Oryctolagus cuniculus: one gene and its partner. Each later gene encodes a partner of the first gene's protein in a complex. Links are inferred from orthologs where the notes say so. Each region holds a gene or a part of one and is shown on either strand. Other genes may lie near its edges.

Region 1 (7,079 bases):
GTCAGAGGGCAAACCGGTTCCCTGTTGGCTGTCCCCCCTCCAGGGGGTACCGTGGAGGGGGGATGTCCGTGCCCGGGGCAGGAAGGCTGCAGACCCCAGGAGCCTCACCGCCGTTTGCTGGGGATGAAGCCGATGTCGTCGGTCTCACTGTCAGAGTGGACCCGTCGCGCCTGCCACCACTCCTCGTCGCTGGCGTCGATGACATGCAGCACGTCCCCAAAGCGGAAGCTCAGGGCCTGGCTCAGGAAGCCGCAGTCCTTGGTCTTGTCGTAATCAAACAGGGCCCTGGAGGCCAAGTGGCTACTGGTCAGAGCCTGGGGCGGGGTGGGGGGGGACTCCAAGAAAGGAGGCACCAGCCACCCTGGGCCCCGGGGTATAGGTCCTGGGAGAGGGGCCAGTGGTGGCACTGCCATGGGAACCCAGCAACTGTGAGCACCCAAAGCTCTGGTGTCACCAGGACTGTTAACTGTCCTCAGTCTACGCTGCGGACAACTTCCGGAGTGAGGGCTAACCTCCACCTCTCCGGGAAGCAGGCTGAAGCACACAGGTGTGTCGCCAAGTCACCACAATCTGCTGAGATCCATAGGAACTAAGAGGTCCCCTACACGCAAACTGGTTACCCTAAAAGCAGGAAATGCCTCCCACTCCGTCCTTACACCCCTGGCTTCACAAGAGAAGGGACAGCAACCCTCCCTGGGAGAGCAAAGACGCAGACTAAAGTTCCGGAATGAGACGGGAAAGGACAGAGTCCCAGGATCGTTCAGCACCCACCGGAAGTCAGAACTGAAAGACCCTGGGGTAGATCCCAGCAGGGAGGGGAGGGCCGAGAGGACCCAGGTCTCACTCAGCCTGGTGTCTGGGTGGACGGCGATGCCACTGAGCAAGAGGGAGTAACACTGCTTGGGCAAGACGGAGACCTCACTACCCAGGAGAAAGACCACGAGCTCGGTGTGGGCCATGCTGAGCATGAGTTGCCTATGGGACATCCCAGAAAGCACATGGCCAGAGCTGCAGGTCGGCACCTCCAGGAAGAGGGCAGGCCAGGGCAGACAGCTCTGAGAGACGCCTGCAAGACTCGGGGCGGCCCAGGCTGTGCAAGTGGACAGGATCAGAGAGGAGGAGAGGGGCTGGCGGGCACCCGGGCTGCAGAGTCCATGGGGGAAGGGGGAGTCAACAGCAGGAAGGGCCCTAGGAGAGAGCAAGGCACCAGCGAGGAGACAGGAGACAGCCGAGAGCGCTGTGGCCCATCTCTCCCGAGACGGAGGCTCGGGCAACACTCGAGCTGTGCCAGGGGGCGCTGCTATGCCAGGCATTAAGCTGTGAGGTGTTAAATGGTGGGCAGCCCGGGAGTCCCCCGGCAAGGAGAGCAGGCACCTCAGAGACCTGAGACAGAGCCTGTTCCCCGCCCTGCGAGCACAGTCTGCCTGGCAACCTGCAGGGTGTCAGTTCCAGGAGGCCCCGCAGACACAGAATCCCTGGATGTTCAAGTCCCTTACATAAAATGCTATTTGCATGTAACCTACGCAATCCTCCTCTGGTCTTTAAGTCATCTCTAGATCATTTATAATACTGAATACACTGTAAACACCTCACGCGTACATTGTATCGTCTGGGGAAGGAAGACAGGATGAAAGTCTGGACAAGTCCAGCACCGTGGTTTTTTCAAGTATTCCTGATTCACAGTGGGCTGACTCCGTGGATGCCCAGAGGTCAACTGTGTTTCACAATGTAAACCTGGGGCTGGTGCTGTGGCCTAGTAGGTTAAGCCACTGTCTGCAGCCCAGGCATCCCATATGGATGCCGGTTCCAGTCCCGGCTGCTCCTCTCCTGATCCAGGTCCTTGCTAATGGACCTGGGAAAGCAGTGAAAGATGGCCCAAGTGCTTGGGTTCCGATACCCATGTGGGAGACCCAGGTGAAGTTCCTGGCTCCTGGCTTCAGCCCGGCCCAGCCCTGGCTGTTGTGGCCATTTGGGGCGTGAACCAGTGGATGGAAGATGGCTCTCTCTCTCTCCCTCTCTCTCTGTAACTCTGCCTTCTGGAGTGACAATGTAAACCTCTGTAGCCAAGCCCTCCTTGATCACCACGTTGGGCGCCCGCCCCGGGGTTGGGAAAGGGGAACAAGGCAGGGCTAAGGGAGAGTGGCTGGGGAACAGGGAACAGGCACAGAGCAAAGGAATCCGGCCCTGGGAGCCTGCGGAGCCCGGCCCAGCGAGCCTCTGACCTGATGTAGAACCCCCTCTTGGGGTTGCTCCGCAGGGAGGCCGTCCCTGAGCCCAGGCTGCTGTTCATGAGCTGCTCTCGAAGGTCATGGATCTTGGCCTCGAAGCGGCTGTACTCTGAGGGAGGACCAGACAGTTCCAGAGCTCTGCCCTCCTCCTGCGGCCACTCCCCTCGCCCCCAGACAGCCATCAGCCCAGGGGAGAGTTCTGAGGATGCCCTCGGCGGGGAGCCCCGCGCCGGGTACCTTCTGGTTTATACTGAGCGATGATCGTGACTGTCTGGCCCGCATTCTTCAGGGCAATGGCGGCCTGCTCGTGGCTGGCGTTACGGAGGTCCACCCCGTTGACCTGCAGGCAGGAGCAGAGGCTGTGTGGCTGGGGACAGGGCGGGGGCACTTCCCAGGTCCACATGGAGTAGGGATCAGCCCAGCCACATACACACACACACACACACACACACCCCGCCCCAAGGAGCTCGGTGAGGGGCGGGGCAGGCTTCCCCTCACCGACAGGATCTGGTCCCCCTTCCGCAGCTCCCCACTGAGGTCCGCAGGGCCCCCGGCCAGGATGAAGGAGATGAAGATGCCTTCACCGTCCTCGCCGCCCACAATGTTGAAGCCCAGGCCGGTGGAGCCCCGGTGGATCACGATTCGCCTCGGCTCCCGGGGAATGTCCTCCTCCCCCAGCAGGTCCTTGGCCACAGGCGAGTAGCGCCGAGGGGAAGTGGGGGTCATGGCTGTGGGGTAGTCGGTGCCCAGGTAGCTGCTGTGACTAATCTCGTTGTCCAGGTGCTGGGAGTACGCTGAGGGCGGACACGGGAGGAAAGACAAGGTGGAAGTGGATGGAAGGGACACGGCACCCACTGCCCCACCTTCCCCCCTGGGCAGGAACCCAGAGAGCCAGACTCAGGTGAAAGGGAAGCTGCCCTGCCAGGGATACCCCCGTGGGGACGTCAGACACGGCCCTGCCAGGGGTCAGCAACTTACAGGTGGTGTCGGGGTGGTTGTGGGAAACAAGGGATTTAAAGGCTTTTTGTCCACAGCAGGCCAGGGATGAAGCTACAGGCTAATGGGAATCCATGCTTTGGGGGTTTTCTTCTGGTTGCTGTCTCTCTCACATCCCTTCAGCCACAGAATTCCTCTCCCTCTTGACCACTGATTGAACAAGCTATCTGTCTGCAAGAACGTCCAACATCCTACCAGGGGAATCCAACAGAGAAACCTCTGCCTGCATCCTCAAGGTCTGCTTCATCCTGCATCTCTGCCCTCCACCTCCTGTAAGCTGGCAGTTGGTTCTGGGGGTGCAACCAGGTTCCAGTTCAATTTCTAAATACAGCATCCGTCACAGGCAGCGCTGAGCGCTCCCTACGGCCCCACCACTACTGCATCTCTGTTGGAGTGACGAGCAGGGTTGGTGGCTGACAACCTGGTCTATGCACTATCAAATGCCTGCCAGTCTTTCACTTAAATTTTCAAGGCTGTTGATGATCACTGCCTGGTTTAGATATTCATCAGGGTTTGCAAAATGGTGATACTCTACTTTGGGTGGGGGAACAAGGAAGCATTTGTTAGCAGGAATTCTATAAAGAACTGACTTACGTAGACCACTCTGAGATGGGAAGACAAAGGTCTGACAGTCCCTCTTTATTTTCAGAATGAATGGGTCCCTTTATAGCCTCCAAAGGTACCCCAATATTTTAAATCACTATTGCGACCCCATAAATTTTAACTCAAGGAGTTCTGATTCAACAGCCAGGAAGAATCCCTTAAGTTGGGCTCCTGTGTCTTTGACATGCTCTAGTAGTCCTGGATACCACCTTTGCTTTCTAGAATGGAGGTCAAGTGAATCTTAGATATTTCTTGCCCAGGACTTTTTTTTTTTTTTTTTTTTTTTTTTTTTTTTTTTTTTTTGATAGGCAGAGTTAGACAGTGAGAGAGAGAGACAGAGAGAAAGGTCTTCCTTCTGTTGGTTCACCCCACACTCCCCAAATGGTCACCACGGCCGGTGCGCTGCGCCGATCTGAAGCCAGGAGCCAGGTGCTTCTCCTGGTCTCCCATGCAGGTGCAGGGCCCAAGCACCAGGGCCATCCTCCACTGCCTTCCCGGGCCACAGCAGAGAGCTGGACTGGAAAAGGAGCAACCGGGACTAGAACCCGGCGCCCTAACCGGGACTAGAACCTGGAGTGCCAGCACCACAGGAGGAGGATTAGCCTAGTGAGCCACAGCGCCAGCCTTGCCCAGGATTTTTTTTTTTTTTTTTTTTTTTTTTTTTTGACAGGCAGAGTGGATAGTGTGAGAGAGAGACAGACAGAAAGGTCTTCCTTTGCCGTTGGTTCACCCTCCAATGGCCGCCGCGGCTGGCGCGCTGCGGCCGGCACACCGCGCTGATCCGATGGCAGGAGCCAGGAGCCAGGTGCTTTTCCTGGTCTCCCATGGGGTGCAGGGCCCAAGCACCTGGGCCATCCTCCACTGCACTCCCTGGCCACAGCAGAGAGCTGGCCTGGAAGAGGGGCAACCGGGACAGAATCTGGTGCCCGACCGGGACTAGAACCCGGTGTGCCGGCGCCGCTAGGCGGAGGATTAGCCTAGTGAGCCGCGGCGCCGGCCCTTGCCCAGGATTTTAAACTGGCTCCCCTTTCCCCAAGAAGGCCAGGCTTCTTCAGGGAGGTTTTGGTATTTAGAAACAGGGCCCACCCAGGGCAGGTGTTTGGCACGCAGTTAAGCTGTTACTTGGGGCACCCACATCCTATCTCAGCGTGCCTGGTTCAGGTTCTGGGTGTCCCACTTCGATCCAGCTTCCTGCTGAATGTGCATCCGGAGGGGCAACAGGTGATGACCCAGGCACCTGTGTCCCTGCCACCCACGCGGGAGACGGACTGCATTCCAGTCCTGTGCGGGCTGGTGGATGGAAGATCGCTCTCTCTCTCTCTCTCTCTCTCTCTCTCAAGTGAAAATGAAAATAAATAAAATCCAAAAGAAAAAAAAGAAGAGCTGCCATGTGACTTAAATATGATTGCACAGTCTGATTTCATATTCAGTAGGGGCAGGCGTACTTCATTACTCCTTTCCAAAAATGTCTTCGTTATTCTCCCACACATATTTTTCCAGTTGAACTTTAAAATCAACCTGCTAAATTCTCAGGGGGAAAAACAACATTTAAATCCTGATTTGGATTTGCATAAAATATATAGATTAATCTGGAGAGGTTTGAGAGCTGTAGCATATTAAGTCATTCCATCCAGAAACATTGTTTTATATGCCTCAGTAAAGTTTCGTCATTTTTTTTTCATAGAAATCTTATATTTCTTGTCAAGTCTGTATTTATAAGAATTTTGTAGAATTGTTTTCTATAGCAAATGAGATCTTCTTACCCATCACATCATCTTTTCATGGCTGGGAAGTTACTGATTCTTGTTTTTTGTTTTGTTTTTTAAAGATTGATTTATGTATTTGAAAGGCAGAGTTAGAAGGAGAGGCAGAGGCAGAGAGAGAAAGATCTTCCATCTTGGTTCATTCCTCAAATGGCTGCAATAGTCAGGGTTGGGCCAGGCCGAAGCCAGGAGCCAGGAGCCCCATCCGGGTCTCCCACGTGGGATGAAGGGGCCCCTCCTCCACTGCCTTCCCTGGCACATTAGCAGGGAGCTGGATCAGAAGTGGAGCAGCTGGCACTGCAGACGGTGGCTTGACCCGCCAGCTCAATTCTGGTTATTGACTTACATATGGCCACATTCTTTTTTTATTTAAGATTTATTTACTTATTTGAAAGGCAGAGTGACAGAGAGAGAGAGAGAGACAAGTATCTGCTCTCTGCGGGCTCACTTCCCAAAAGCTCACAATAACAGGGGCTGGGCCAGGCCAAAGCCAGAAAGCTAAAGAGTCTCCCCGGGTACTTGGGCCATTACCCACTGCCTTCCCAGGCACATCAGCAGGAAGCAGGATCAGAAGCGAATGAGGCAGGGGATGCAGGGCCCACCCCAGGAGGGGATACAGGGATCCCAGCAACAGCTTAACCTGCTGAGCCACAACAGCTCTTCTGCTCGGGGCCACACGCTCACCTTTCCATGTTTTTGTCCATCAGTTAATGACTTGTATTTTAATCTAGATGGAGAAAGTACACTTTACAAGTAAGGACAGCTGTTTCTCTCTTCCATGCGCTCCTTGTATTTTCCTTATCTTGCTATGCTATGTGCATTCTCTAAAGTAGGGATTTTCAACAGAGCGATTCTGCTCTGTGTGTGTGTGTGTGTGTGTGTGTGTGTGTGTGTGTTGTGAGAGGAGAGGGTGGGGACACCACTGTCACTGACAGAGGCCAGGGCTGCTGCTGAATTTCCTACAATGCACGGGACAACTCCCCACAACACAGAGCTATTAGCGGGTTCTGGGTCAGTGTTGGGGAGCAGCAGGTTAAGCCACCGTGTGAAGCCAGCATCCCATACTGGAGTGCCAGTTTAAGCCTTGGCTGCTCTTCTTCCAGTCCAGCTCCCTGCTAATGCACCAGGGAAAGTAGCAGAGGATGGCACAAGTCCTTGGGCCCCTGAGACCCATGTGGGAGACCCGGATGGAGCTCTAGGCTCCTGTCACTGCCTCAGCCAGCCCTGGCTCCTGTTACTGTCTGAGCCAGCCCTGGCTGCTGTGACCACTGGGGAGTGAACCAGCAGGTGAGTTCTCTGTCCCTTTTCTCTGTGTCATTCTGCCTGTCAAATAAATTCATCTTAAAAAAGAGAGAGAGAGGCCAGTGCTGTGGTGTAATAGGCTTAAAGCCTGACTGTGATGCTGGCATCCCATGTGGGCACCGGTTCTAGTTCCGGCTGCTCCACTTCTGGTGCAGCTCTCTTGCTGTGGCCTGGGAAAGCAGAAGAA
Region 2 (7,179 bases), about 3.5 Mb from region 1:
CCTCCAGCGGCCGCCGCACTGCACTGATCCGATGGCAGGAGTCAGGTGCTTCTCCTGGTCTCCCATGGGGTGCAGGGCCCAAGCACTTGGGACATCCTCCACTGCACTCCTGGGCCACAGCAGAGAGCTGGCCTGGAAGAGGGGCAACCGGGACAGAATCCGGCGCCCTGACCGGGACTAGAACCCAGTATGCCGGCGCCGCAAGGCGGAGGATTAGCCTAGTGACCCGCGTCGCCGGCCCTCTTTTTTTTTTTTTTTTTTTTTTTTTAACCTGGATTATCAGGACAGTTTCCAGACTACTTTTCCTGTACCCAGTCCAATATTCCCTACTCCATCTGACTTAGGAGATCCAGGGAACCTATAAATCTGATCTTCTCCTGATGAAAACTCAGCAATAGTTGCCCCTCAATACGTGGAAGGTGTGAAATAAATTCAGGTTCCTTGGCAAGAGATACACTGCCCTCCTGGGAAAGATCCCCAGGGTGTATCCTGATCTGCACGCATCCCCCTGCTCATACTCTGCTCACTTCGCGGCTTCCTGAATTTGCTAAGGAGGGTCCCTCTACTGGTCCTTCCTCTCTTGCTTGCTTTATTAACTCTCAGTCACTCTTCAAGATGGTGCTCATCGCCCCAGCGAGAAGGCTGCGTTTGGCACCGGGGCACCTGCCATCTGCTCTCAGGGCCCTCCGTGTCCATCTTTACCAAGGGACATCGCCATGCCCCGTGGAAGCCATGTGCTATGTCTTCCCAACCCTTTAGCACTTACAAGGGGCCTGGCGGAGAGTAGGCACCGAACACATGTTGAACAGAATCTTTCAGAAGAGGGTGGCAGCTGAGAGGCAGGGAGAAAGTGCGGAGGAAGAGGGAGAGACTGGAGGGAGTTCCCCCAAGGGAGTTTGGCACCACCTGGCCTTGATCATTGCCCCAGGAGCTCCCCCCTCAGGCTCAGACTCTGCCTTGTTCCAGCTCTGACCCTGAAGAAGCACCCAGGAGGGCTACACCGGAAGTCTCACGGAAAATCCCATACTGCCCGCTTGTCCTCTGACAAGTCTGCTTGTCCCTTGCCTTCAACCAAAGCACTTAGAATTTGGGCCGCGCCCGGGGCTTTTGTTCTCATTTCACCCCCACCTCCTCCAAGGACGCACAGGAAAGAGGCTTGTGACTCCCCCTCGTGGGGATGGCCTCATAGCTTGAAAGTTAGACTCAGGCTTCCTTCACACAACGTCGTTGCTCCCACACCGGCCCAGGAATAACACCCCTCCCCCGCGCGCCTATCCCCTCCAACCTCACCAGCCACACGCAGGAACTTTTCCAACTCAGCTTCAACGCTCTGAACCACAGTCTGGGGACACTGGGAGTGCCACCCACGGCCGGAGCTCCCTCAAGTCCACGACCTTGTAGGTGGTGGGGTGGGGAGGAGGGCTCCGCTCCTGGCAAAGCCACTTGACCCCTGGCCTCAGTTTAAGAACCTGTAGCAATGGGTCTGACCTCTTTCCTCGGCTGCTAGAGTCACCGCTAGGGAGAGGTAACGGCTTGCGCAAAGCCTAACTCCCGTTCTGGAAGCGCGCAGGCAGCGGGGGGGCTCGCGTGGGAACCGCCGCGAGGGCTGCAAGGGGCAACAGGCAACCGCTGGGGAAGTGCGGCCGGGCCGGACGCTCCCGCCCCGCTGCGCGGCCCCTCTTCACCGGCTCGCCGTGGAGGAACTGGTGGCTTCGGTGACGCGCAGACTCAAGTGCTGCTGCTAGGCAGGGGGAGAAATAAAAAGGAGCCCCCCCCCCTTCCCCGGCCCCTAGCATCACCCCGCCCCAGCTCCCCAGGCGCCTAGGCGTGGAAACGTGGGCGGCGGCGAGCGGCCGTCCCCCTCCGCGCGCGGCGCTCCCTGTGCGCCGTGTGTGAGTGCGTGTGTCTCCCTCGCTCCTCTCGCACACGCTCCGGCACTAGTGCAGGCGCAGAGCCCGCGGCTCTCGGTTCGCTGGCTCACTCGCTCGCTCGCTCGCTCAGTCGCTGCGCTCCTGCCTCGCCGCCGCCGCCGCCACTGCAGTCGCAACCGGGCATGGTGAGTGAGTGAGGTTCGGCCGCCGCACGCGGACCCCAAGCTCCCCGCCCGACCCCACCAGCCTTAGCCGGCGCCGTCCCGGCCAGCCAGCCAGCCTGCGGCGGGAGCGCGCGGCGGGCCCCGGCGGCCCGTGCGCTCTTGGTCCCCGGCGCGCAGGGCCGCCCGACTCCGTCTTGGGAGCGAGCTCATTGCCCCTCCCGGTCCAGAGCTTGGCTCCTCGAGGGCTGCGCGCTCCCTCCTCGCCCGTCCGCTGCTCCGCTCCTGCCCGTCGCCCCACCCCGTGACCAGCTCCCTGTCTTGTCCCGCAGGACCCGCCCGGACGGGACCACGTCGCCACCGCCGCCGCCGCCGCCCGGAGCCGCGCTTCGGGTCCTGCCTGAGCCGAGTCGCGCGCGGGGCCGCCGCCGCCGCCGGCGGGGGATGGGGCTGCCCGGCAGGCGCGCCGATCCCGCAGGGGGAGCGCGGAGCCGGCGCGCAGCCTGAGAGCCCTCCCGGAGCAGCCCGCGCCGGGCCGGTCCGTGCGCACCGCGCGCCGCCACTGCCGCCGCCGCCGCCGCCACCGCTCGCGCCTCGATGGCGCCATCGCCCCGGTGCCGCTGAGCGCCCCGCGCAGCCAGCCCGGCCCGTGCGGCCGCCCTCGGAGCCCGGCCCGCCGGGGGAGCGGGCCTGCCGCGGAAGCTTCCCCGCGCCCTCCCGCCCGGCCCCGCCATGGCGCTGCGGCGCCTCCTGCTGCTGCTTCTGCTGCTGCTCTCGCTGGAGTCCCTGGACCTGCTGCCCGGCGCCCACGCCGCCCGCGGCCGCGCCGCCAACCGGACCCTAAGCGCCGGCGCCGCTGCCGTCGGGGGCCGGCGGCCGGGGGGCGCCCTGGCCCGGGGCGGCCGCGAGCTGAATGGCACCGCCCGGGGGGCATCCGGCGGCCCGGAAGCGGGCAGCCGGCGAGGGCAGCCCGCGGCGGCGGTGGCGGCAGCCAGCGCGACCGTCACCTACGAGACGTGCTGGGGCTACTACGACGTGAGCGGCCAGTACGACAAGGAGTTCGAGTGCAACAACAGCGAAAGCGGCTACCTGTACTGCTGCGGCACCTGCTACTACCGCTTCTGCTGCAAGAAGCGCCACGAGAAGCTGGACCAACGCCAGTGCACCAACTACCAGAGCCCGGTGTGGGTGCAGACGCCCAGCACCAAGGTGGTGTCGCCGGGGCCCGAGAACAAGTACGACCCGGAGAAGGACAAGACCAACTTCACCGTCTACATCACGTGCGGGGTGATCGCCTTCGTCGTCGTGGCGGGGGTCTTCGCCAAGATATCCTACGACAAGGCCCACCGCCCTCCGCGGGAGATGAACATCCACAGGTGAGCGCCAGGGCGCGATGCCCCCAGCCCGGGACACCCCCTCCCCCCACCAAGCCCCCAGCTCCCGTGGCCTCTCCCCTCTTAACGTGCCCTCTGGCTTCCACCATCACTTCTTTCACATGCCCTGGGATCTCCGTTGCTGCACAGCCTGGGGGCGGAGGGGGTGGGTACGCTTTGGTGGTAGGGGGCTCGCGCAGCAGAGTCAAGAATTGGTGGAGGCCACTGGGAGTTCAAGTGCCACGGTTTTTACGAAGCCCATCATCGTGCCCAGAGATCCAGGGTTCCCTTATCCAGCCATGTGGGCACTTTGGTTGTGTGGGCTTGATGGCATTTAGCTTTTTTGAGACAAACCCGAGTGTCATCTTCAGTATAGAAAGGAGTCCAGTGTTGGAACCGTACTCAAAAGAGCACCGAGTAGCTTCGAGTAAACTGGGGTGTTCCCTGCGGGGCGGGATGGGGGTGACACGCGGAAGCACAGATGGTGTCTCTTGGAGTGGGATGCTTGTCTTTCCTGCAGAGACCGGACTTGTTCCGTTCAGTTCTGGAGGCAGAACTCGCCGAGGTAACCCGTTCTCGCCGAGTTCTGCCTGGTGGGCATCCCTCACTGCTCCCTCTGGGGACACGGTGGAGGCAGCCTCCTACCAAAACTTAGGCGAGAGAGCTCAGCTGGGGCAGCCTGTGGTTCCCCTCTGAGCGCCGCCCACCCCACTGGGCTGACCCCCAGTGCGACCTGTGGGAAGTGAAAGCCAAGAGAAGTACAGAAAACCCAGCCACTCCTTAGAAGTCTGGGAAAGACACACCCCAGGTTAGCTGCCTTCATGGCGGGGAGGGGCTGGATGTGGCTCAACGGGGTCCTTTCGGGGAGCAAACCTGGCCCCAGGAATTGCCTGCATTTTTGTTGCAGGGTTATGGGCACTGCCCTGATAACCATGGCTGCCCCCGCCCTAAAACCGTTGCTTCTGGGTTGTTCCTGCAATGCCCCACCCTGAGCCGGCATCCCCCTACACTCATCTCCACACCTGCTGTTCTCCTTACGTCCGGAATGGCTCCGTCTCTTGCTGTGTGGACATTAATCACGCTCACCCCCGGCTTGCCAAAGGGAGAGAGAAAGGCAGATAGAAATTTCTAGGCATGCCGAAAGAGCTGGTTTTTTTTTTCCCCTAGTTTGGTACTGTGGGTGTTGAGAAAAGGTGATACTCCCTAGCAGGTCCACACTGTGTGGGTGCTTTGAACTCAGACCTAGAACTGGGCTGACTCCACAAGGAGACCCGCTGATAATCTGTCCCCATCCGAGGGTGCCACCACCTTCCCTCCCACTGTTGCCTTAGCTCTCTGGTGGTACATTTTGACTCGGCATCCGCCTGGAGCCTGTGCTGGCCCTGGCACCGATGGGGCGGTGGATTTTGAGAAATGATCTGGGGTGCAGATTACAGGACAGGTGGGACGAAGTCAAGGCAAAACCCTTTCTCCTTTGAGTCTCGTCTGGCAAAGAGATCTATGTCTTGGTTAAGCTTGGAGAGCAGAGAAGGCATTGCCTGTGAGCCGTGTCCCTTCCTAAGCAGATGGTCCTTATCATCCGTCCACCTCTCGCTTAGGACTTGGAGGAGGCTTGTCTCCCAGCCCCTTCTCCCGTGTCCCTGGCCTCTCATCATAGCCTCTGCTCTCTGCCGCCGGCCTCTTGCTGGTTGATTCCCACACACCCACCTTTCTTTCTGTGGGTTTCTGTTTTCCCTGAGCCATTGTTTTCTGCACTCTTAGAGGAACTTGCTCGCTGTCCTGCTCCCTGGCCCCTCCTGCAGAGTCTGTGCACAGAGAAGGTGGTATCCTGGGATGCTGGGAGCAGGTGTCTTTGGCTGCTGCTGGCATTGGCACATGACCCCAGCGAGGTCACTGTGTCTCCTGGTATTTCCTCCGCTCCCCACTACACAGACACCCCTTATCCCAAACCAGGGTAACTATCGTGACATCACTGCAGCGCTTTCTCTCTGGGGCTGGAGAAGAGTGGTGACCGTGGGGAGGGGACTGAACCTCAGGCCTCAGACCATTATGTAAATGAGGGATGTTTCTCCCTCAAGTTCACCTCCTGCTTTTATTCCACTCACAGCACCTCTTCCAGCAGCTGCAGCCTCGCCTGATCCATGCTTGGGGGAGATTGTCCTATTGACGGTGTTGGGTGGGGACAATGTCTGTGTGTGTGTGTGTGTGTGTGTGTGTGGTGGGGGAGGGTGTGGAGAGGCAGGGGGACAGAGCCTGAGAGGTCCAGCTAGACTGCTTAGAGTGACCTTGTGCAGGTCAGGGGAACTCGCTTTTCAGTTCTGGGTAACCCAGGTACAGAGATCCCACAAGGATCTCTCCCTTCCAGAGCGTGTCAGGGCAGGTGAGCCCACTGCCCTCTCCCTGGCAGGGGTGGGAGGCTCCTGTTACTCTGCCCACGACTCAAAGCTCCCTGCTCACCGTTCATTCCAGGAATTGGGCTTGTGCAGGCTGACTTGTTGGGGAATCAGGGTAGGGATGAGGAGGGAGCGAGGAAGACAGAGAGAAACAGTCACACCCATGGTGAGTTTTCCCCGGGGAAAGTGCAGAGAAGAAATGGGGTCAGGAGGCTTCCAGACAGTTCAGCAAAGTCCCGAGATCCTGCCTCAGAAGGAAAAAGAGGTGCTTATTCGTCCCTGAAGACGGCTGGGCAGGCAGGGCCGAGGTTGCGCAAGTCTCAATGACCTCTTTGGAAAGAAGAGTTTGTGGGCACGAAGGAAGGGGCCGTAGGCCGGGATTGTCGGCTGTGTGCCCCCGCCTGGGTGTTCCCTGGCTGGCCTGGAGAGCCCTCTCTCCGCCCAGGCACAGGTGTTCCTTAGGGCAAGCCTGCCTTTCATCTCGGCACCCCCTGCAGGGAAGAACAGATTCTCATCTTTTCCAGAAGTGGTTAGACCTTGCTGTCCTGTTCCCGAGTGAGAAGTCCACAAGCTCTCTGCTGCACCAAGTCACACTCAGTTAGCCTGCCCCTGACCCCGGGGGAGGGGGAGGAGGTGGGCACAGGGACCGGAGACAGAGCCTTGTCCTGGGTGTGGGAAGCCAGCAGGCAGCTTGTCCCCAGCAGTATCTCTGTCCTGACTCCCCGGTCACTGAAACAGCCCCGGGCTGTGGCTGGAGCTGATGGCCCATAGGCATCCCCCGACTTTCATATTTGCAGAGTGGCCTCTGCCAGGCATCCCCAGGGCTCTCTGCTCAGTGAGAGGTTCCTGATGTCCTCCAAGGCCCGGGCTTCGGACGGAGGCCGACTCCTTCTGCCATTGAGCTCCATGCCAGCTGTCTCACATCCAGACCTGTTCCTTCCTCCTCACCCTGAGTTGATTCATTAGCGTCGTCGAGATGAGGGTGATGCTGAGGGAGGAACCTCATGGCTTCTTTTTTTTTTTTATGGCTAATTAACAGAAGGGTCAGGAAGCTGTTGGGAGGCTGCAGACACAGTTGGTGAAGTCACAGGTGCCCTGGGTCCTCCCACCCTCGCAACAGGCAGGGGAGGGACAGAGGACAGGGAAGTGGGCAGGGGAGGGCTGGCTGCTGGTAGAGGTAGGAAGAAGGACCTGAGTGGACATCATCAAGGACTGGGAGTCAGCTCTGCCATGGGGTCGTGGCTCTTGGGGTCTCCCTGTTGATTTCCAGAGGAACGGCTTACTCCACCTTCTCTCCTTCCAGAAAGGAACCACAAGCCCAGCGAGCGCCCGGGGTGTTCCTCACCAGCCACAGAACTGCGGGAGTGGCACCGCGGGGCTG

Evidence for each region. The genes of interacting proteins can lie anywhere in the genome.
Region 2: DLG4 (region 1) and SHISA6 share a complex: the UniProt entries of both Homo sapiens proteins name them as parts of the postsynaptic hippocampal AMPA-type glutamate receptor (AMPAR) complex. The link is inferred for Oryctolagus cuniculus from reciprocal best matches to the Homo sapiens genes DLG4 and SHISA6.

The regions. Positions count from the first base shown.
Region 1 is NC_091448.1:51,806,263-51,813,341, forward strand, and holds part of DLG4 (disks large homolog 4), read right to left. Parts: intron 3,023-7,079; coding exon 2,727-3,022; intron 2,569-2,726; coding exon 2,466-2,568; intron 2,338-2,465; coding exon 2,223-2,337; intron 286-2,222; coding exon 109-285; intron 1-108. UniProt on the Homo sapiens protein: Postsynaptic scaffolding protein that plays a critical role in synaptogenesis and synaptic plasticity by providing a platform for the postsynaptic clustering of crucial synaptic proteins.
Region 2 is NC_091448.1:55,332,679-55,339,857, forward strand, and holds the start of SHISA6 (protein shisa-6), read left to right. Parts: upstream 1-2,634; 5' UTR 2,635-2,764; coding exon 2,765-3,408; intron 3,409-7,179. UniProt on the Homo sapiens protein: Involved in maintenance of high-frequency synaptic transmission at hippocampal CA3-CA1 synapses.